3 linked regions of the Alligator mississippiensis genome follow. The protein of the gene in region 1 purifies or fractionates together with the protein of each later gene. This does not show direct contact. Links are inferred from orthologs where the notes say so. Each region holds a gene or a part of one and is shown on either strand. Other genes may lie near its edges.

The links.
Region 2: the proteins of KPNA4 (region 1) and MECP2 purify together in Homo sapiens (affinity purification with mass spectrometry; 3 studies listed by BioGRID and IntAct, counting the BioPlex papers as one, with this or other methods). This does not show direct contact. The link is inferred for Alligator mississippiensis from reciprocal best matches to the Homo sapiens genes KPNA4 and MECP2.
Region 3: the proteins of KPNA4 (region 1) and KIF22 purify together in Homo sapiens (affinity purification with mass spectrometry; 3 studies listed by BioGRID and IntAct, counting the BioPlex papers as one, with this or other methods). This does not show direct contact. The link is inferred for Alligator mississippiensis from reciprocal best matches to the Homo sapiens genes KPNA4 and KIF22.

The regions. Positions count from the first base shown.
Region 1 is NC_081830.1:68,628,789-68,636,609, reverse strand, and holds the start of KPNA4 (importin subunit alpha-3), read left to right. Parts: upstream 1-4,703; 5' UTR 4,704-6,492; coding exon 6,493-6,585; intron 6,586-7,386; coding exon 7,387-7,431; intron 7,432-7,821. UniProt on the Homo sapiens protein: Functions in nuclear protein import as an adapter protein for nuclear receptor KPNB1. Binds specifically and directly to substrates containing either a simple or bipartite NLS motif.
Region 2 is NC_081831.1:28,770,846-28,778,004, reverse strand, and holds the start of MECP2 (methyl-CpG-binding protein 2), read right to left. Parts: upstream 3,165-7,159; 5' UTR 3,054-3,164; coding exon 3,019-3,053; intron 1-3,018. UniProt on the Homo sapiens protein: Chromosomal protein that binds to methylated DNA. It can bind specifically to a single methyl-CpG pair. It is not influenced by sequences flanking the methyl-CpGs.
Region 3 is NC_081838.1:25,093,379-25,101,395, reverse strand, and holds the start of KIF22 (kinesin-like protein KIF22), read right to left. Parts: upstream 3,003-8,017; 5' UTR 2,922-3,002; exon of another isoform or gene 2,859-2,921; intron 2,751-2,858; exon of another isoform or gene 2,650-2,750; intron 2,566-2,649; 5' UTR 2,492-2,565; intron 1,488-2,491; 5' UTR 1,484-1,487; coding exon 1,302-1,483; intron 1,225-1,301; coding exon 1,097-1,224; intron 863-1,096; coding exon 702-862; intron 1-701. UniProt on the Homo sapiens protein: Kinesin family member that is involved in spindle formation and the movements of chromosomes during mitosis and meiosis. Binds to microtubules and to DNA. Plays a role in congression of laterally attached chromosomes in NDC80-depleted cells.

The sequences.
Region 1 (7,821 bases):
TTTCTGGACGACTGTGATGCTAACTTAAGAGTGCATGCAAGCTGAAAAGAGTGCAGGCAGAAGTGTGCTAGATGTCAGAGATGGCTAGGCAGGCGAACAATAGATCTGGAGCAGTGTGTTAAGAATCAAGAGGCAAATTAGTGCCTTTTAACATGTCTAAGAGTTGCTTACTAAGAAGCTAGAACATATAGAAGACCTCAGGAAATAAATTACATTTTTGCCTCCAAATGAAGACCAACCTTTCAGGCTCTGATCCTTTGGTGCAGCCAAGGAGCAGGCAGATTGGTAGGGAATGTAAGGGATGGCTTTTATATTCTTTTGGTGTTTGGGAGCCAGTAAAGGTGATCGAGCTGGTATTTTCTGAGGTTAGATTCTGCTGTGCTAAATTCTGGGAAAGATCTCTTGCTTATCTTGGCCCTTCAACAGAAGTAATATAGACAGAGAAGAAGACTGTGATAGGTGCATGAGTGCAGCTGCAAGCAAGAAAAGATTTGGTTGGTAGGTATCAGAGTGGTGAGCTAGGCGTGTTCAAAAGCCATAGCTTGAAAAGTGCTAAAGCAGAAAGACTGTCATCTGGTAGCGTGTTAATATCATAATTTAACAATACAGGCTAGAATGTGTTGGCAACTCCTGGCATGTGTGCTGAGCGTGGCGCACGAGGCCATTTTGCTTGGCACGCTGTGGCCAGCCCTGGCCAGCAACGGAACTTGGGCTGCTCCCAGCTGGGCTTGCAGCATCCCAGCTGCCTGTTGGCTGCAGCCGGGAGGTTCCAAACAGCAGTGCCGGGCTCTGGCATCAGCTCCTCACTGGCGTGTGCAGGCGCACCTCTGAGCGGGCGGTGGGCGAGGGGCCTGAGACGCCGTATGCCCGGTCTCTCCCCTGCTCCCAGCATGGAGGTGAAGAGATGCGCTGGGCTCATCATAGCCAGCCCGGGCTCTGGGCAGCTGCAGTGGGCAGAGTGCAAACAGCTGCGCTGGGCTGCACAGCTCTGGCATTGGCTCCGTGCTGGCGGCGACTGCACGGGCACCTCGGGGCAGTCAGCAGGGCACCCCACCCCCAAGATGGCAACCCCGGGGGGGGGGGGGCGGCTATCCTAGCAGCCCTCAACAGTTCACCAGAACTTGGTAATTGGCCCTCAAGCTGAAATAATTGTCCACCCCTGGGCTAGAAGGTCACAGTAGTGGCAGTATTGTTCAGTGTCTAGGGCATTCCATGCAAAACTCTGTAAATGTATAGGCTGTCTAAACAGATATCACGCACTAATTTGATTCGTAACTGTTGAGCCTGTTCTGTTAATAAACTTATAAATGATTAGTTGTAATTTCAGTATTTTAACTGTTTGTGATGATCTGCACCAGTCACACGTGGATGAAAAACATATATATATATATATAGCTCAGTGATCAGTCACTTTCTTATCTTTGTTTCTCAAATCAAATTGGTTTCAGCTGTTGTTTCTATATATTTATTTACTAATCATTTTGTCTTGTAAAATTATAGTCTCAGATGCTCTGAATTTACAGACTTGCCACTTGCTCGTTTTATTTCCCATAGGTGTTAGGCAGTTGTGATTTCCCCCCCTCCCCCCCCCCCCCCCCCCCGCTATTTGAATGGCATGAAAAAGAAAACGTTTTTATTTCATAGTGCCACTGAGCTTAGTTATACAAGGAGATGGCTTATTTCAATTATATGTGCCCATTTACAAAATTCTAAATGTTTTTGTGACTTGGCCTCTTAAATTGGGCATTGCTTAAAAAAAACCACTGAGGAATGCCGTGTGTACAAGTTAGATTTTATACTACTAGATTTTCAGTTACTTTATTAGCTTAAGTATAAATCCTGACATTGATTTTAATATTTCGTTTAAAGCTTTCTAAACGTGTGTCTTATTTGCTGTTCCTGTGACTGGTACTTTTTATTGAAGGACTTTATGTACTAATGGATTGTGTCTCTTGTCCAGCTGTCCTGGGTGCTGCAGCTGTGTTACATAGGGTCCTATGTTGTGGCCTTTGGTATGTTAGGAAGCTGTTACAGTTTTTAAATTCTGCTTGTGGTGATCTGTGTCCTTTACTCTGTTTTTGTTTCTTGTCCCCAAGCATAAAATAGCTTTTTGTTGTTCTTCCAGCTTTTATTAAAATTACTTTTCCATTCTCCTGCCCCAACTAAAACATTTAATTCAAACATGGCTTGTTCAGTAGAGTAAAACAAATGTTCGAAATGCATCAGGTATGATCTTGCTCGTTTTATTATGAGCCTTGTGTTAGGGATATAAATACTGTTTTTAAAATATTTGTTTAACCTTCTCTAATTATGTGGGTTAAATGATTAAGCTACAACATGGCAACTGCTGAGAGCGACTCCTAGAGCTTTTGACTGGGGGAAGGGGTGGAGGAGGCAAGCCCAGCCAGACAACACAGTCTAGGTGAAGCCTGTAAAGGAGCAATTATGCGTTTAATTGATGAGTAATTAGCAGGGATCCTGGTTTTCTCTGATTTTAAATAAAATTGCAAATTCTCTGATAACCCCAAAATCCATGATTAAAATAAAAAGCCACTATGCCTGCCTGCCTGTAAGTTGAACACAATGTTTTATTGATATATTTACAATTTTAAAGCAATTTGGAAGCACACCAGTGCCTCGATCACTATAATACATTCTAAATACTTGTAAATCTTGGTATTTAGTTGTGTGATTTTATCATGGAAGATCAGAGCTAATCTCTGCCCCCTTCATTCACAGAATGCAGGTCCAGGCCCCTTAGCCCTTTTACCCCCCACTAGTGGGGGCCCCCAGCTGCCAGGGTTACAAGGCCAGGGACCTGGGTCTGAGCCCTTGGCCCTCCGCAGCAGCACCTGAGCCCTGGCTGCTGCCCACGGGAGGTGGTGGCTGCTGTTGCAGAGTAGCAGAACCTGGCACCCAGCATGGCAGGGCAGAGTGGGGCTGCCCAACTCCCTTCCTTCCTGTGGCAGCCTCAAACCCCCACCCCTGCCTGACTTACCTGTGAGAGCTGCTCTCCAGGCTCCCTGGCAGCCATGTGCGTATACGTGTCTCTGGCCTGACTGCGCTTCTCCCGTTCCCCCCAGCCCCTTGCAGGCTGGAACTCTGCCATCCTGCAGATTGCTCATTGCAAAACTGCAAAATCTACATGTTTCTCTGTTAAAATGATCAGTCTGTATTTTCTTGGGTGAAGGGGGAAATTCACTTTTTTCTGTTTTTCCATGGTAAATGGAAAACCTGGATCCCAGGTCCTTAGGCTGCTAGCTGTTTTCCTCTTAAGCTATGGGTACTATAGTCCCCCTTGTCTCTCCCACATCCCTTTCCCCACCACCTGGTTCTTCCTTCCCCGCCCTCCCTTCTCCTGTCCTGGTGCCTTCTGAGTCCTGCTGGGGCACCCACCCCAAGTTGAAGGATAATCCTAAACTAACCCATTATCACTGCACATACCAGTTAAAGGATTAATCGTTTAACCTTTCACATCCCTACCTTGTGTTGAGCTGGAAGGATTTTTGTTTCTAGAGGACAAAGGAGGGGGCACTTAGTTGCATGTTGGCAGTTAGAGGAACATTCCCTATTAAATTCTTTGAATGAGAAGGAGATCAGTGATATCTCTTTTCCCTCCTTCCGCTGCCCCTTCCCTTATCTCGCACTTCACTCTGTCAAAGGAAGCTTGTTCTATAACAGTTGAAAGTAGCACTTTCCATATTGTGTGTCTTATTTAAGCCTTCCAGGAAAAATTAGGTTTTAGTTAAATGAATATTCCTCTTCAGGAATACAGATTAAAATTTTAATTTTGTCAAATTCAAATTTCAAGTCCTAATCTTCAAGCTTCTTCCTGGTTACATTGCTAGTTTGCAGAAGTCTTTCTTTTAGCAGTTCCTTCCCTTTGAGCTTTCTTTTAATACTGTTTCTTGAAATTGTCAGCTTACTCTACACAAGTCTACCACCGTTTCTTCATTCAAACCTCTTATTAAAATCGTGTTTTCTTTAATTTTCTCATTCTAATTTAATATTAAAACAAGATTCTTTTAACATTAAAATCTCATTACAGAAAAAAAATTGCTCTGCTGTCTTACAGATGGAATGTGTAGTGATTGCTTTCTGAACTTGAAATCAAGTCAGGCATCAGAGTTGAGTATTTTTAGCATCCGTAGCGGCTTCAAATTTGTTTCATTAACTTGTATAACTTTATAGTCATATTATTCTATTTAAGTACATTTCTGCTGTATGAAAGATGCGCAAATTACTATCAAAATTACAAAGCTGGCTTCTTACATAATTCCTGTACCATAACTGCTACAACAACACTCCAGTCGTAACACAGCACTTAAGACATATTTCATATAAATGAAATATGCTTTTATTTTGTTGCTTATCAGATTTCTTCTGTCTAAACTTTGTGCAGTAATTTAACCATGGTTATTAATATATCTGTCATTCTAATAGCAATACTAAGCTACAGCAGAACTGACTGAGAAGCCTGCCACAGTAGGTAGCTTTATATTGAATGATGGAACTTGTACAAGTGCTTCTGTGTACAAAAGCATGCATTTAGACCAGGGCATCTGGAGGATGCTTCAGCTGAGTGTATTTCATTCAGGAGAGAACATTTCTAGCTGTATCTAATTAATAGAATTAAATTATGAATTGGGTTTGTTTGTAGAAAATCTTTTTTTCATAATGACTTTATCGGTGCTTAAGCATTAAGGTTATAGAGTGAAGCACTCAAATAAGAAAAAGTGTTAAAGTTGCATGCACAAACTGCATGGATTCTGGCATCTCAGTTACATTGCTTTATTGGGACTCTTCGGCTTGGAGAAGTGAAGACTCAGGGGTGACTTGGTGGCAGCCTGTAAGTATATAAGGGATGTGCATCAGGAACTGGGAGAACATCTATTCACCTGTGCTCCCTAAGGGAAGATAAGATCTATCAGTCACAAACTTCTAGAAGACCGTTTTAGACTGGACATAAGGAAAAACTTCTTTACAGTCCTAGTCTCTAGAGTCTGGAATAGACTTCTCCCAGAAATGGTGCAAACACCTACTCTGGATACCTTTTAAGAAATGCTTGGATGGGGTGATCTGACCCCAGCTGACTTCCTGCCCCCTGGACAGGGGGCTGGACCCAATGATCTCACAAAGTCCCTTTCAGCCCTAATGTCTATGAAATCTATGAAACTGAATGCAGATTGGAAACTAGTGGGGAAAGCTGTATACTTGTTGCTTTGAATTTGGATTGAATACTATTTTCACAATCTAGATGAGGAATAGATTCTTTAAGATGATAGTTTGATATTCTGGAGTTTGATTTGGTGTGTGCAAAGGATTATGTGACAGTTGTCTAAGATGGCAGGATCACACTGACCTAGAAGATCTCTTTTCATTTTGACTTCTTCTGATGTGAAGTGGCAACTGAAGAAATTTTAAGTGTTTTGCACAGTTTGTGCAGTGAGTCAAGCGAAGTTTCATAGAAAAGATTAAATATTACCTTACTGCCTCATTCACTGTGAGGTAGTGTGCAATAAATTAAAGTATTTGTGAATTTTATTGTATGATAACAGGCTACATGGTAATCCATACACATGGGGGAAGGACTAAAAATGAAATCTTAAGGTTGAGAGTCACAAAAAACTAAGCATACCAGTTATTAATTCAAGTGAGTTTAAGAGCAATTATCAGATGCTCTACTTATGGTTCATGCAAGGAAGTTAAACTTCATTGGTGCATCTACCCATGCAGTTAATGCAAAGCAGTAAACTGTGAAACAACTCAAGCTGGACTAAACTGTTCCCAGGTGCAGTATCTATATGTGTACCCGGGATGGTGATTTGAGCCAGGGCAGCAGAGTAGGCCCCCAGCTGGCCGGGCTGACCAGATATAGTTTACTTCTGCGATCAGCCTCTATACGTCCATTTCAGCGTGGTAAATGACTCTGCTGTAAGATAGTACTGTCCCCAACAGTATTATCTTATGGCAGAATTTTAGTTTACTGCGCCCTAATATCAACTTGCATGTAGACAGTGATGCTTTACTGTGGAGCTAATTAGTCAGCTCTGCAGTAAAGCATATATTTAGATGTGTCCTATATGTTTTGGATGCAAGTAGAGTAACTTTACTTCCATTGCATTAGTCTTCTACTGCAATAGTTTGTTCAGTTTTAAGGGCAAGATCCACAAGAGGCCTTCAGGTTGGTGATACTGAGCCATGAGTCAGTCCTGGGCACCAGGGCAAAATTAGTAGCCTGTTGATTCAGTTATACACCTTTCAAAATGCCTGGGGGGGAATTAGATGCCTTTAGAATGGGTTTCAATAACCAGTATTGTTAAGCTGCCCAAGGGCTCCAGTAGCAGTCAGGGACTCAAGATTTTAAGATTGACCTCACTTACCCCCTTTCTTTTAGAAACAAAACAAGGCTCCTGTTTTTCTTTCAGAATATGACTAGAAGAGATGGTGGCAATGTCACTGTTTTTTCTAGGATAGCCTTGTGGTTAGAGCATGCAAGTGGGATATAGGTGGCCTGGGTTTAATTTCTTATTCCTCAGGGGATTCAGCGCATTCCCCGCCAAGCCCCATCTTCCTCCACCCCAGGTGAGTGACCTGATCTGCAGACTAAGCTGTTCTGTGAAAGTGGTGGAGCTTTGCAGATCATTAGATTAATTGGGCCAGAGTGCAAGTGTGATTGGTCTGGCAAATAATGCAGTTGAAAGCATATCTGCAAAATGACTGCTCTTCACTAGTTTGTAATAACATTTGGAATAGGTTTTTGGGGTTTTTTTTGTTTTTGTTTTTTTGCCATGTTATGTGATATAAAACAACTTGCTTGTCCCATGGTCCTGTGTTAAGTATGTTATTGATTTATTTCCTCCCCATTTGATTTTTTTTTTCCCCCCTTTATTTTACATTGTAGATATCTGTTAGCATGTTCTTAAATAGTACAATAAAGAGTTAATTATTTGAAGTGTTTAGTTACCCAAATGCAGGACATGTTGCCAATTTGTGTCATGAGTGTTATAAATGAGAGCAGGGACAACAAAATAATTGTTAAATATTATTAACAATTAAAGGGAGGCCAGCGTGGGCAGGTTAACCTTTTTAATGGTTTAAAATTTTTTTTCTCAACCTTCAAATAAGAAAAGGACCTGTACATGTATACATGTTCATTTAATAAGCATTTCATTAACCAAAATTGGTTTTTATTAAAGGAATTAGTTCCTAGTTAACTGACTCTATTATATATTTATTGCTATTTTTATATAAAAAAATCTAATTTTGATGGCCTCAGTTGAAAGAAAAATGGTTTAATTAAAGTCTTAAATGTAGGGAAAATCATAATGGTCACTAGGTCCAGATTTGGAATGTTATTTAATTGTTCTGTTTTCAACTTTTCAGACTATGAGAAGACAACGAAATGAAGTTGTCGTGGAGTTAAGAAAGGTGAGATCAGTTAACATTGCTTCTTTCAAAAACAACTTGATGTCTCAGAATTTTGAGTTACCAGTATCTGTATGATCACAGTGCATATTCTTTTGTAGACCTTTGTGAAAGATGCTATCAATCTTTTGTTTTATAAAATTTGTCCAGACATTTGGACAGCCTTTTAGTGGGAGGGAAGCTTTTGAAAGGCAGATCTTACTAAGTCAGAATCTAAGAACTCCACCTAAGTTGTCTTCCTGTAAACTAATTGAAGAAGTTTTATTTCAACTAGTTACACAAACTTCTGTGATCCAAATAATTGTCTCATTGATGATCAGCCCATATATTATTCTTTTATTTGTTGCTTGGCTCAAATAGTTTAATGAACAGGTACCAGTTGCCCCATCCAGT
Region 2 (7,159 bases), on another chromosome or scaffold:
GCCAAGCTGTGCTGTGCCCAATGTGAAAGGCCTGGTCTCAGCTGGGCTGCAAGCTGTCTTGTTCCTGGCATGATGGGGCTGGTCTCAGCAAGGAGCTGCGGGTGCTGCTGTGCCTGGTGTGACAGGGCTAGTCTCAGCCGGGCTGCAGGCTGCACTGTGCCTGGTGTGATGGGGCTGGTCCTGGCTGGGGCAGTGTATGGTGCTGTGCCTGTCATGACAGGGCTGGTCTCAGCTGGACTGCAGGCTGTGCTGAGCCTGGCATGATGGGGCTGCCAGTGGCACTGTATTGAACACTGGCAGGGCTGGTCCTTGGCCAGGCTGTGGGCAGTGTTGTGCCCATCACTACAGGGCTGGTTTCACCCAGGGGCCATGGGCAGTGCTGTGCCCGGTGCTATAGAGCTGGTGTTGGCTAGGCTGCAGGCTGTGCTGTGCCTGGCATGAAGGGGCTATCAACATGGCTATGTCTGGCATGACAGGGCTGCAGGCTGTGCTGTGCCCGGCATGATGGGGCTATGGAAAGCACTGCGCCCATGTGAGGGCCCCAGTCCCAGTCCCACTCTCTCTGCCAAGAAGCCTGGTAACAAATGCCTGAACCCAGGCACTGGCCCAACCCACTGAGCCAGGGCTGCCCCACAGCACTGAGCCAGGGAGACAGGAATTGGGTGGGTGTGAAAGCAGCGGGCCTCAGTCTGTTTCCATCTGCTGCAGCTCTAGCCCCTCCCTGTGCTCCATGCCTAGCTGGGTAAGGGCCGGGCTCCTGCCCCTGTGGACAGGCCTCCAGACACCAGTCATAGCGGGTCAAACATGTGTGGACAGCCAGGCTCTGTAAGTCTGAACACGGGAAGTAACAGATGCTCTAGGCCATGGGCTGAAGGACTGTGGGAACCAGAACCCCTGGCTTGAGTGGCACCAGGCTTCTTGACCACCACTAGTGCCCCTTGCTGTGCCCTCTGCCCTATGTGGTGCCCCCTGCTGTGCCAGCAGCCCAGGTCCCACTGAGAGGCAACACTGCCTTCCTGGTGCCTGCAAGCAAGAGAAAGAAGCCCCCAGCCCATGCCTGGCTTGAAGCAAGCATACTTGGCACCCCTCACTGTTGCCGGCAAGGACACAGAGGACATGCTCTGGCCCCTAGGCTGCCTGGCATGGGAAGCTCGGACTGTGACCACATCCTGGCTATGCATTGGGAATGGGCAACTGGCACGACCCCACCCTGCCGCCAGCAGGGCCTGCTCAGAGCTATGTCCAGCTGCCCACCCAGCCCTGTGGTGCCTTCATGCCAAGCCTGACACTGGTATCAGGACCACAGGCTCCCAGCTTCCCCTGTTGGAGTCAGTCTGCCTGGGAGTGTGGAGCTGCCCAGGCTACAGCTTCTACACTAGGACGGACAGGATAGTTCCTCCTTGCATGTCCATCTGTCCTAGCTCAGGGTGGCAATATCTGTGGCAGGCAAAGTGCCTTGCCCAGCTAACCCGTGTGCAACAGACCCACTCCAGCCCTACCCGCAGTGGATAAGTTCTCACACTCTCAGAGGAGCAGGCAGGAAAACCCATAACCACATGAGTCATGTTGACAGGCCAGAGCTGGGAGACCCCCTGGACAGGTGGGCGCAAAAGTCCATGTGTGTCACAAAAGCGGGCATGACAGTAGCATGTTGCACGGCCCTGGCAGGCTCAGAGCCGGGAACTGGCATGAGGCGGGTCCAGCAGGCATGGACCAGGCCAGGTGGCATAAGCCTGCACTGCTTGGCCCAGCCATGTAGCCACTAAGGTTACTGGGGGTGTCACATGTGGAGGGCAGCAACCATGTGAGGGCTGGGAAGACGCTGACTGGGAAGGGTGATGCTGGCCGGGGCAACGCCTGATAAGACTGGACAGCATGCATGGAAACGGAGGGTTCTGGGCAGCGTGGGCATGGGATGCATTGGACGCGGGTGCTGGCATGGGCGTGGCCCATGTGCAACCTTGCTGATATGGCTCAAGGCAGGGTGGATGCTGCGGCAAGACTTAGTAGGAGCACACGTGCAGTACTGGGAGGGCAGGTGTGCCAATGAAGAGGGTGTGGACAGTACAAAGCACTAGGTGCGAGTGAGCCCAGACAAAACACCATAGGACTGGAATGAGGGGGATGGGACAGTGCAGTGGGGATCGCGTGACAGGGCTGGGACACTGGAGTTAGCATGATGGGGCCAGAGTGGCACAGGGGGGATTGACGTGACTGGACCCAGGCAATGCCAAAGGGCTGGTGCGCCTAGGCTTGGCGTGACTGGGCTGAGGTGGTGCAGGGAGGTTGGTGTTACCAGGGCTTGACGTGACCCACATGGCGCACACAGGGGTTTGGTGCACCCCGTGTCCAGGAGCTTCATGTGCCCAGCACACAGGAGCTTAGTGTGACTAGCACCTAGGGGCTTGGCATGGCCAAAGGTCTGGTGTGACCCATGGCCAAGGGCTTGGTGCAACCCACGACTGGGAGCTGGGCATGACCAGGGGCTTGATGTGACGCATACCTGGAGACTTTGCATGACATAGGCTTGGTGTATCCTGCACCAAGGGTCTTGGTGTGACCAGAGGCTCGGCATGACTGGCAGGGGGGGGCGGGGGAGTGCGACCAACACTTGGAACTTAGCATGACCAGTGCCCAGGGGCCTGGTGTGACCAGGGCCTGGCATGACCCATGCCTGGGGTTTGAGTGTGACGGCACTTGATGGGTCCTACGCCCAGAACCTTGGCATGACATACACCCCGGGCCTTAGTGTGACCCATGTCGGGGGGGGGGGGGGAGTTCGCGACCTGTGACCTCGCCCGGCCCCGCCCCCCCCCGGGCGGCCCCTCCCCCCTCCCGGGGCCGCTGTGACGCACCACGGTCGCGCAAACGGGGGGGACTCACGCACGCCCCCCTCTCACGCCCCCCTCCCCTCCCCATCCCTCCCCTCCCCACCGCCTCGCGCGTCGTCGCCGCCCCCCGCCCCCCCGACACAGAAGGGGGGAGGGACGGGGGTCCGGCCGCGCGCGGGGCACTCACAGCCGCTCCTCGTCGCCGCTCGGCGCCGCCGCCATTTTCTTCGCAGCGAAGAAACCCGCGGGGGGGGAGGGGAGGGGGGGAGGGGGGGGGCCAAGCCGGGGTGGGGGGGGCCAAACCGAGCCGGAGAGGAAGCCCGGAGCAGGCAGGCCCCACCCCCTCCCCGATCCCCTCCTTTGCCGCACTCTGATTGGCCGTGGGCACTGCCCGTCACGCAGCCACCGCACATCCATTGGCTCCCGCGGGCGGGCCGCGGGGCGGGTCCCCCCCCCGCGCTCCCCCGCGCGGCAGTTGGAATTGGCGGGAAGCGCTGTCAGTTAGGGCGGGCCCCCTCCGGAAAAAGTGGGTGGGGTGGATGGAGCGCGCGCGGCGGCTGATTGGGTCTCGCTGCTGCCGCTGAATGGGCCGGCCTCCTGCCAGTCACTGTAGGAGGGAGCGTGGGGGGAGCCCAAGGAGGGGTGGGGCGCGGCATGGCGCGGCGCGGGGCGGAGGGGTTTGAAATTCAACGGCAGTTTGCAACGGTCCCAACCGCTGCCCCGCCCAATACGTCATACTCATGTTCACACCAAAGCTGTCACCACGCTTATGTCAAGGGAGCTCTGGGACCCCAGCACACTATGCTCACACCAAGGCAGCTTCAGGAACCCAACTCACTATGCTGATGCTCACACCAAGGTTATCCCATGTCCACACTCCTGCTAAAGTGGCCCCGGGACCCGAACACACCACACACACTCATGCTTACACCAAGTCTGTCTTGTGTCCACGCTCATGCCAAAGCAGCTCTGGGACCCCAACATGCCACACATGTTCACATCAAGGCTATCTTATGCCCACACTCACACCAAGGTGGCTCTGGGATCCCAAAACACCATGCTCACATTCACACCAATGCCATCTTGTGTCCACACCCATGCCAAGGCAGCCCTAGGACCCCAACATGCCACGCTCACCAAAGCTGCCTCGTGTCCACGCTCACGCCAGCTCGAACCCCAACACACCATGCTCATGCTGACAGTCACACCAAGGCTGATCACCTTCACCATCCGCCATAAAACTGGCAAGTCAGTCAGCAATACAGAAGTCCCTGACTTTAGGAAAGCTGACTTTGACAAGCTCAGGAGGCTTGTCAGTGAGGCCCTAAGGGACCACGACCCCAAGGGGAGGGGAGTTCAGGAAGAGTGGCTGTTCTTCAAGGGAATGGTCCTCAATGCACAAGCTAAGGCTCTGTCTCAGAGGAAAGGCAACAAAAGGGCACAGCAGCCCCCTTGGCTCTCCAGGGAACTAGCAGACCTCCTCTGGCTAAAAAAAAAGGCCTACAAAGGATGGAGGACAGGATCCACCTCCAAGGAGGAATACTCTGCACTGGTCCGGTCCTGCAGGTAGCAAACCAGGGAAGCCAAGGCTGTGACGAAACTCCAGCTAGCTACAAGTATCAAGGACAATAAAAAGTCCTTTTTCAGATATGTGGGGAGCCAGAGGAAAACCATGGGCAACATCAGACCCCAGCTAAACCAGATGGGACAACTGACAACTGATGCCCAGGAAAAAGCCAACCTATTAAATGGGTACTTTGCATCGGTCTTTCATCAGTCCCACGGGACGCCCTTGCCCATTACGGGACAGGGAGACTCAGGTGAGGGAGATTCCCTCACACACAAGACAGCCTTGGTGTGAACATGAGTATGATGTATTGGGCGGGGCGGCGGCTGGGACTGTTGCAAACTGTGATTGATTTTTAAACCCCTCTGCCCCAAGCTGCACCATGCTTCGCCCCACCCCTCCTTGGGCTCCCCCCACGCTCCCTCCTACAGTGATGGGCAGGAGGCCAGCCCATTCAGCATGGGCAGTGAGACCCAATCAGCCTCCACACATGTTCCACCCGCCCCAACCCCTTTTTCCGGAGGGAGCCCACCCTAACTGACAGCCGGACAGGGAGGCCCAGGTGGGGGGAGATTCCCTGCCCTCCATCAATGCTGACCTTGTGAAGGAACACCTTGAGAGGCTGGACACCTTCAAGTCAGCTGGCCCTGACAATCTACATCTCAGGGTACTCAAGGAGCTGGCAAGCATCATAGCCAGTCTGTTAATGTCAGGTGCTGGGCTATTTTGTTCAACATCTTCATTAATGATGTGGACATTGGAGTCAGAAGTGGACTGGCCAAGTTCGCCGATGGTACCAAACTCTGGGGTACAGCACCCGCACCTGAGGACAGGAGGGCGATCCAGGCTGACCTTGATAGGCTCATGAAATGGGCGGACAAGAACCTGATGATGTTTAACACTGAAAAATGCAAGGTTCTCCACCTTGGGAGGAAAAACCCGCAGCATGCTTATAGGCTCAGCAGTGCTACACTGACTAGCACTACGGATGAAAGGGACTTGGGGGACATGATTGTCCACAAGGTGAACATGAGCCTTCAGTGCAATGCTGTGGCTAGTAAAGTGAGCAAAATGCTGCCTTGCACCCATAGATGCTTCTCAAGCAAATCCCAGGACGTCATTCTTCCATTATACTCAACCTTGGTGAGGCCGCAGCTGGAGTACTGCATCCAGCTTTGCGCTCCACAATTCAAAAAGGATGGGGAGAAGCTTGAGAGAGTCCAGAGAAGAGCCACGCGCATGATCAGAGGTCAGGAAAACAGACCTTACGACGACAGGCTGAGGCTTCAGCCTGGAAAAGCACAGGCTCAGGGGTGATCTGGTGGCCACCTATATGTTCATCAGGGGTGCTTACCAGGATTTGGGGGAAAGTCTGTTCACCAGAGCACCCCAAAGGATGACAAGGTCAAATGATCACAAACTCCTCCATAACCGTTTCAGGCTGGACATATGGAAGAACTTCTTTACTGTCCAAGCCCCCAAGGTCTGGAATAGACTGCCGCCAGAGGTAGTTCAAGCACCTACATTGAACACCTTCAAGAGAAATTTGGATGCTTATCTTGCTGGGATCCTATGACCCCAGCTGACTTCCTGCCCCTGGGGCAGGGGGTTGGACTTGATGATCTTCCAAGGTCCGTTCCAGCCCTAATGTCTATGAAATCTATGAAGGCTGTCTCATGTCCATGCTCACACCAAGGCAGCCCCAGGATCTGAACACACTATGCTCATGCCCACATTCATGCCAAGGTCATCTCATGTTCATGCTCACACCAAAGCAGCCACAGGATCCCAACATGCCATGCTCACACCAAGGCTGTCATATGTCCACACTCATGCCAAGGTGGCCCTGGGACTCCTGTGTTATGCTCATGCCACAGCCCTCCTGGATCCACACTCATGCTGGGACCCCCAACATGTCACACAAACCAAGCTGGCCTTGTGAGCCCTAACATGTCACAGTCATGCCACCACCCTCCTGTGTCCATGTTCATGGGGCTACCCACAACACACCACACTCATACTCACACCAAGGTGGCCCAGAACCCCCAACACATCACGCTCACACCACGGGCTTCAGTCTATGCTTATGCCAAGAGAGCCTCAGGAGCCTCAATACATCATGTCAAAGCAGTCTTGTGATCTCCATGTCACACTCATGCCACAGCCCTCCCTCCCCCCCGCTCATACCAGGACCCCCAACACACCACACTCACACCGTGGCACTGGGACCCCAAAACATCATGCTCACTTTGAAGTCATCTCATATCCATGCTTACATCCAGACCTGGACACATGCATGGGTGAACCGGGTGGCCACCTAGGGCCCGGATAGAAAGGAGGCCTGAAAATTAAAACAAAATTACAATTGCAAAAAAAGTTTTAATGCACATATACAGGATTGGCAATATTATCAACTGAGAACAAACTATTTAAAGACATCGATACCACAGACGTGATAAAGACCTTTGCAACAAGTCTGATTATTATTATCATTATCTCTGGCAAAGGGGGACCTGATACTCAAAGTTTGCCTAGGGCCACCAGGAGCCTAGATACAGCATTGCTTACACCAAGGTGGCCCTGTGACTCCTAATATTTCATGCCTGTGCTACAGTTGTCTCATGTCCACACTCATGCCAAAGCAGTGCATGGAATTCTACACGTCACTGTCACGCCACACCCATCTCATTTCTGTGCTCACACCAAAACAGCCTCATGACTCCCAACATGTCACACTCATACTAAGGGAGCTCTAGAACTG
Region 3 (8,017 bases), on another chromosome or scaffold:
GAAGAGGGAGAACGAGTGGAGGAGTCTCTCCACCAGGCTTAGGGGGGTCATGGGGGTCCCACAGTGCCAGCAAGGACCCTAGGCAGCTGGTGGGGAATGTAAAAACCCAAGGCCTCTAGGAAAGCATCATTTTGAGGCATGGACCCTTTCCTGAATCACCAAGTCCAGGCTAGCCCCCCCTGAGCACCATGGCCCTCTCCTGTGCGCCAAATCACTAGGGCCTGCTCCCCACACTGTGGCACAGGAATTTTAAGCCACTTCCTCTGTCTCGCAACCGTTTCATCCGCTGCCCAGAGAGCTGCCGGAGGAAGCACTGAATGGAAAGTGTTTGGGGACCGCTCGAGGTCTCCAAACCCTCCAGGATGGCCTGTTGCTCCTCCTAGCCCAGCTTTCTGGGGTGTTTGCTGTTCAAGCTCACTCAGAGGGGGCAGCTTGTTACGGGGAAACAGGGACATAGATCTGTTTGCTGGGATTTGAGGTGGTTTGGATTGAAACCTGGGACAAAACAGGTCCCTGGACAGATGGGGAATGAGCTGGAACAAGCCTCGGCTCTTTTGCAGACTTTGCAGGTACCCCAAGGGGGCTGTGGCTTCCTTTGCTTGGACTCCAGCCCGAGTGTCTCGCCCCTATACCCTCCCCAGCACCCATGATCCTTCTCCCCTCAAAGCCTGGGAGCCCGCAGCCTGTTCCCCACCACATACCTTTTCCTGGTAGACTTCCAGGTAGGACATGGAGACAGAGTAGGAGCAGTTGTGCCCGTCAGGCCAACAGCCAGCCTCCCGCACCATGTGCAGGATGTCACGCACAGCCCGAGGGATCACACCAGGCTGCTGGGGGCTGCCCAACATGGTGTGCGTCTTCCCTAGGGGGGCCAGAGAGGCAGCACTGAGCCCCCACCACCACCCACAACACAGGAAAGAAAGAGACCTGTGTGCTGGTGGACTGAAGACCAGTCAGAAAATTCACCACCCCCCTCCCCAGCCTCAAGCTCAGCAAAGCGCACCGGAGCACGTAAGGAAGCTGAGGCAGATGGGCCTTGTGACAAATCCCAACCCAGGACAAACCCAGACACCTCTCTCCCTCACCACATGCTCACCCGCCCCGGTGGGCCCATAGGCCAGCACACTGGCGTTCTGCCCCTGCAACAAGTGGTGCAGGATGGGCTGCACAGAGCTGCAGTAGACATCTTGCTGGGTGGCTGTGTCCCCGTAGAAGGTATCGAACCTGGGGGGAACAGCAGGGTGATCACCACTGCGGGCTGCCAAAACCCCCCATTCCTCCCCCCTTTCCCCCACACGCACTGGTACTTGAAAGTCTCCTTAGCATTGCGCCAGTTGACAAGCTCGAGGGAGCGCGAGTCCAGGCCACGAATGCAGGGTTCCGAGTCTTTGCTGCAGGGGCGCAGACGGACACAGACACGGACTGGGACAGGGGTGTCGGGCTGGCGATGCTCCTTCATGCTGGGCCGAGGCTGGGACTGCATGGCACTGCAGAAAGAAGAGGGAACAGGGATCAGAAGCAACAAAACACATGCTTCACCCTCACCCAGCTCCCTTCCTACCTCCAACACCAATTTATTTCCCTTCAAAGTTCCCTCCACACCCTGCATGCCCCACAAAACTGCCTCCTCCAGCTCCTAGTCCCTACTCCAGGCCCCTCTCTGCCAACCTAGCACCCAGCCCCTGCAAAGTCCCTGGGCCCCACCATTGAAAGCACCAGCCCCAGCCCCCCAGCCTTCAATGTCTGCCTCCCCAAGGCCCCAGCTGCAGCTCCCCTTCCCAACTACCCCCATCCTGCCAAAGTCCCCAAGCCCAAATCTACCCTCCCCAAAGTCCCCGTTTTCAGCTCCCTTAGGTCCAGCCCCGCAGCTTTCCACCACCCATGCCCCACTCAATGCCATCCTTCCCAAATCTCAGATCTCCAGCTACAGCTCCCCTCCTCCGCTGCCACAAGGCCCACCCCACTGCAAGCTCAGCCCCCCATCCTCCAACTGCATCACCCCAAACCCAGCCATCCTCCACCCGAGCCCCCAGCTGCAGCACCAAGATGCCCTTAACCCAGCGCTCCACCAGCCCACCTCCCAGCCCCACTTTCCTATTCTTAACCATGAAGTTCAGCCTTCCCAAGCCTCCAGCTGCAGCCCCTTCCTCAGCAGCCCCCAGCACCACCCCCAAATCCATCCACCCCAAACCCCAAGCTTGAAGCCCCCCACCATCCCTAGACCCTAGCCCCCCAAACCCAGCCCCACCTCCAGCCCCTACCCAAATCCCCAGGTCCGTGGGGACAGTGGGATGGCAGAAGGGAAAGCCCATCGTGGCAGCAGGCTTGCCAGGCCAAAAAAGAGAGAAGAGAAAAAAAAATCTAGACATGAAGAAATCCCCAAGCTGATAACACAGGGCCTCCACCCAGCTCCATGGGTGTCCTCCAAACAGCGTGGCAAAAATAACTCCCAAATATCCAGGATGAATTGAGTGAATCAGACATAGCTCACCTCCCAACCACTACGCAACCATCAGCTCCAGTCAGTAAAATAACCCAATTTTATTTCAGTTTTCTGCTATTAACCTGAAAAAAATCAGAATAAATCGTTGCTTTACAAGGTCCCCTCTCCCCGAGTCGGCAACAACGCGGTTAATCCGCGTCACGCACCGAGGAAGCGCCTTTGGCAGAAAACAGCGATTAACCCAAGGCTTCCCGACCAGCGATTTAAAGCGGATTGATTCAACCAAACCCACGCGGCGCTCCCCCAGGCCCCCCCGCACCCAGCCCCTCCCCTTAAGCCCCCGGTGCCCGCCAGGCCCAACTCCACCCTCCCCCCAGCTGCCCCCCGGGCCCGGGCCCAGCTCTGCAGCCCCCACCGGCTGCAACACCGCCCTCACCCAGCCGCTTCCCTGCCGGAGCCGTTTGTTTTTAGCGCTCACCCCACCCCGCAACCAATCAGGAGCCCCCGTGGGGTAGGGGGCGGGGCTAGCACCACGCCTGCGCTTCAGGAAGGGGAGGGGCCGCGCACGCGTGTTGCACAGGCAGGAGGGAATCCGCATGCGCCTAGATGAATATGGGGGGGAGGAGGGTGTGCTGATCAGCATAGAGTGACCCCTCCCCCCGGCGTGAGGTTTGGGCGCATGCGCACGAGGGGAAAAAAAAAAAATCATGCCCGGTTGGCGCATGCGCAGTAAAGAGGAAGGGATAGCTAGCTAGCAGGATAAATGAATGGATGGTGGCGCTGAGGCATAGGGACAACAGTGCCTGGTGGCGCATGCGCATTAAAGAGAAAACCGAGCGGGGTGGGGCGCATGCGTCATAGGGCAACAAGTTGCCCATGGCGCATGCGCAGTAGAGGAAAGTGGGCGGGTGGTGGGATATCAAAATGGCGGCAGGGCTCTTTGTTTGCTTGGCAGCCTACCGTTTGCCCGGCCCCGTCCCTCTTAGTGGCCATGCCCCCTTCCCCCACTGCAGTCAGTGAGCTGGGAGCCCCTCAAATGTCCACCAGGGTGGCCAGCCCTGCCTTAGTGCCTTCCCTGCCTTGCCCTGAGGCAACTGCTCAAAATGGCTGCCGTGGCGGTGTGAGCCTGGCCTGTGGCTGGGCCCCAAGATGGCCTCGCTACTGCCTTGGCGTGTCAGGCTGAGGGCAGCGTCTGTCCTTGGGAGGGAGCCCCAGGATGGCTGCCGTCACCAAAGCATGAGTGGCCAAGATGGCCACTGCCATGGCATGCCGGGGTGGGGGTGCACCTGAGCCCCGAGACGGTCACCACTGCCTTGGTGCAACCGGGTGACGGCGACGCCTGCTGCAGACCTGAGCCCTAAGACGGCTGCCACTGCCTTGGCGTGACTGGGTGAAGGCGATGACTGCTGTCAGCCTGAACCCCGAGGTGCCCACCCCCACCTTGGTGTGACTGGGTGAAGGCAGCATCTGTCCTTGGGCTGAACCCCCAAGATGGCAGCCACCACCTTGGCGCGACTGGCATGAGTCCCCCTGCCAGCAGTGTGGGGGTCCCGGGCTCCAACCCCGGCCCTGCGGCCCCACGAAGATGCACAGCAGCACCTCCTGTACCCCATGATGCTGCGCTCCGTCCTCCTTTCCTCCCGCAGCACAGTGTGGGAGCCATCTCGGACACCTGGGCCCACTTCCCTCCCCCAAGAAGAAAAATCCCCTTGCTGCAGCTAGAAGACAAGGGCTTTTCCTCCCCACTCCTGCAGCGCCGCTACGAAACAGCCGCCCTTGCTTTGTTCTGGCTCTAGCAAAGCTCCAGTGAGATTTGAACTCGCACCCCTGGTTTATTAGACCAGTGCTGTCACCTCTGAGCTGTTTGTTTTTTCCCCTGCTTCTCTGCCACACACAGTAGATATAGCTACCTGCTCTTCCCTGGGAGACTTTAGGGGGTGCAAGGACCTGCTGCACCCCATTGCAGCTCCAGGGACCTGGAGCAGAGGCTTCCAGATGTGTCCCCAGGGTCTCCTGCCTCTGCCAGCCCCAGGCAGAGCTCATTGCAGGGGAAAGGGGTTAGAGACACGTGTGACCTGAACAGCCTCAGAGTTGACCTCTGACCTCCTGCTGCTTTGCCCCAGGGGCAGTCTCATGCTGAGGTTTCAGGCCAGGATCCAGGACCCTCAGCTGGGGCTTCCCCCCTGCTGGTCCCCTCAGCAGCCAGGCTCCAGGGCAGCTCCGCAGCTGAACTCACCAGGCCCCGGCCCCTCTAAGCCGGGCATGGGAACCCGCAAGCTTGGGACCCAGTAGATCTCAATACCGGGGGGGTGGGGGCAGGATTTCCAAGGGGAAAGTGCCTTGAAGTGGGACCAGACACAGACTTTATATGTGCTGGGGGATGTAGCTCAGTAGTAGAGCACCTGCTTCGCATGTAGGAGGTCCTGGATTCAATCCCCAGCATCTCCAGCTGCTTTTGCCCCTGCTCAGGCCTGGGATGGGCTGAGAGAGCCCAGGCAGCAGTGGGCACTCAGTCTGCCTTTTGGATATAGCTGGGCTGATTTTTCTTCCTCCTTGTAGGGTGAAAGCAAAGGCTCAAAAAGACTACCTGATCCCCCAGGGGTAGCCGACGCTCACCAAAGAGGCCACCCGTCCAGCTCTAAAACACTCAGGGAGAGTTTGGAGCAGAGGGAGCTGCGATGCCTGCAAAACCACCACCTGCCCAGGTAGGAAATATAAAAAAGGAGGTGGAGATTGAACTCAGCACTTCTTACATGGAAAGCAGGTGCTCTGCTACTGAGCTATATTCCCCAGGCCCATAGCCACCTCCACCCCATAGCACTGTGGACCCCATGAAACTCCCTCCCTGAGCACTGAGATCTGCTGGGTCTCAAGGCTGAGGGGAGGAGGCATCTGCTGGGCACCCGCATCTGTTGTCCCAGGGGTGCATCTCCTCCCTGGGCTCACATTCGACCAGGAGGTGCTGGGGGAAAAAAAGGAGCTGGAGATGCAACCTAGGGCTTCATGCATGCAAAGCAGGTGCTCTACCACTGAGCTACACAGCCTACCAGGGACTTATCCCAGGGACATTATCCCTGGATGTGCCCCCTGCCCTTGTCCAGCTGCACCCAACCCCACCCCAGACACTGGGCACATTTCACCAGCTGCACCCCAGCCTGAGCGACCCGCTGAAGCCCCTGCCTCTGCTGTGCTGGGCTGTGGTGGTGGGCAAATGCCCCTCAGAGACAGGGTTCAGCTAGCCCAGGCCGAGTTGCCTTGTTAACCTCATTGACCACCAGCAGCCTCCTGCTGCTCTGCCCCCATCTCCCCCACTCCCCACGGGGTTTTCCAGCCCCTACCCAAAATCTTCCCTTCATGCACCATCACCTCCACCCCCACCAGAAATTTGGAAGCAGGACAGAGGTGTCACCTGGCACCGCGGCTCTAAACTGCGAGTTACAGAACCATTGATTATCCAGCATCATTCCTGGGTTGGACTAGCTGTGATCTCCGAGGGTCCCTTCCTGCCCCACTTCTCTACAATAACCCACGTCTCTGTCGTTAGGACAATCATCGACCCCCAGAGTGTATGAGCTGTGGCTTTCATTCCCACCCTGTACAGCCAGTAATAAAATGACAGCCAAAGCTGGCACGGGCTCTGGAGAATGGGGTCAAATCTCACAGCATCAGATGATGACCCACCTAGCGTCGTAGAATCATAGAAAATTAGGGTTTGAAGGGACCTCACGTCACATCTAGTCCAACCCCCTGCTTAAAGCAGGACCATCCCCAAATAGTTATTGTCCCAGCAAGGGGAACCTGGCACCCAGCTGGCTTTAGTGCCAAGAGACCTTTGTATTGCACCAGACCTCCTGGCCCCTGCACTAGCCTAGGCTGCGGCCTGCGGTGCTCTCGGTTTCATGGTTTCCAAGGGACCCAATCCTGCTTTCCCAACATGTTTCGTATCAGAGGGAATATTTATTCTTTTGCAAACACTCCAACAATACCCAGTACACCAGAAAAAGGGGGGGGGGGAGAGAATAAACCCTCTAAATTTATTAAGGAAACTAAGACACCCAGGTTAAGAAACAGGACAGAAGAGGCAGGCAGGCTGGGGACTGCTGGAAAAGATACTGTACTTTCTCACATACAACACACCCTGGGATATAATGCGCCCCTTGATCTGAAAGGCAGACTGAAGGGGGAAAAAAAGCTCTTTCCTTGCCGTATTTCTCACATATAAGGCGCACCAACATTCCCAGGAGCTGTTTTCTGGGGGGGAAGTGATGTGGCATACCAGAAAGTACAGTACTCTTATGAGGCCTCTCCAGCTGCTCTGCACACATTAGTGTTTCACCTGCAATTGCCTTGTGCTACACAATGCCATAACCCCACGCTACAGAAACAAAGCCCAACACCAACCCCTGCATAACACAACGACAAACCCCTCTGCAAGCCAGGCCTGGGACGCAGCTGTCCACGGGGCCCTGGGCAGTACAGCCAGCACCCCAACGGTTGGGACTGTCTGTCGCCCCGGAGAAGATCCTGGAGAGGGGCCGGCCTCACTCCATGCCCAGACGCTGGCAGGAGCAGGCCGGCTGGGACCGGCTGAGGATGGCACTGACCAGGCGCTCCAGGAGCTGCCGGTCCTGCTCCCGCTGGGTCTTCTCATGCTCCAGGAAGCGCTCCATGAGCCGCTCCTCCTGCTCCAGGCGGGCACGCTGGATGGCCTTGTGCTCCTCACTGCGGCGGCACATCTCCGCGAACATGTCGTCCACGGCCCGCTTGCGCTTCCCCCGCAGCCGCACCGTGCGCTCGCTCAGCCGTGGGGGTGGGCTGGCCGGCTCCTCATAGGTCGAGCCACCTGGGTGGGGAAAGGGAACAGAGTGTTACGTGTACCCAGGCACCAGGGCGGGGAGACTTGAAGGATGGTCCCCCACAACCACACTTGACTTTTGATCAAGGAATATACTGCATGTATTCACATCCCATAAACCTTTGCCCCCTCTAAAATTAGAGAGTGCATCTTAAGCAGGAAAGCTGGTTTTCTTCCCTGGAATAAAGGCACTGTGCTATAACATTGCCGCTTCTCTGCATGCGGCAGGGGCGGAGTCCAGCCGTAACCCTTATCCAGCCTCTGCCCCATTGGCATTTGCTTCTGGCTTAGCAGCCAAAATCAGACACAGCTACACGTGCGCATTTAATGTGCATTAGCCCAATTTAAGGTGCATTAATGGCACCCTTAATGCGCCTTAAAATGGTGATCTGAGGCAGCGAGCCTAAATTTGATCCCCACAGCTGCAGCAGAGTGTAGGCCTAGATCACCCCAGTGATAGAGAGCCCTCAACAACCCGGGGGGCATCGCTGGGCCTCCATCACCCCCTCCCCCGGCCCTGCCAGCCTCCCCTCGAGCCCAGAGCCAACAGCTCCCCTAGCCCCAGGCCTCCCTCCACTGCCAGCACCTGCACCCCAGGGCCTGACCAGTCTCCATCACCACGGTCACCCCTTCCAGGGCCGCCTGCCTTCCCCAGCACCATCCTGCTGCCTGCCTGCTCGCCCCGGCCCTCCCTCGGGGGCGGAGACGGGTCCCAGCCG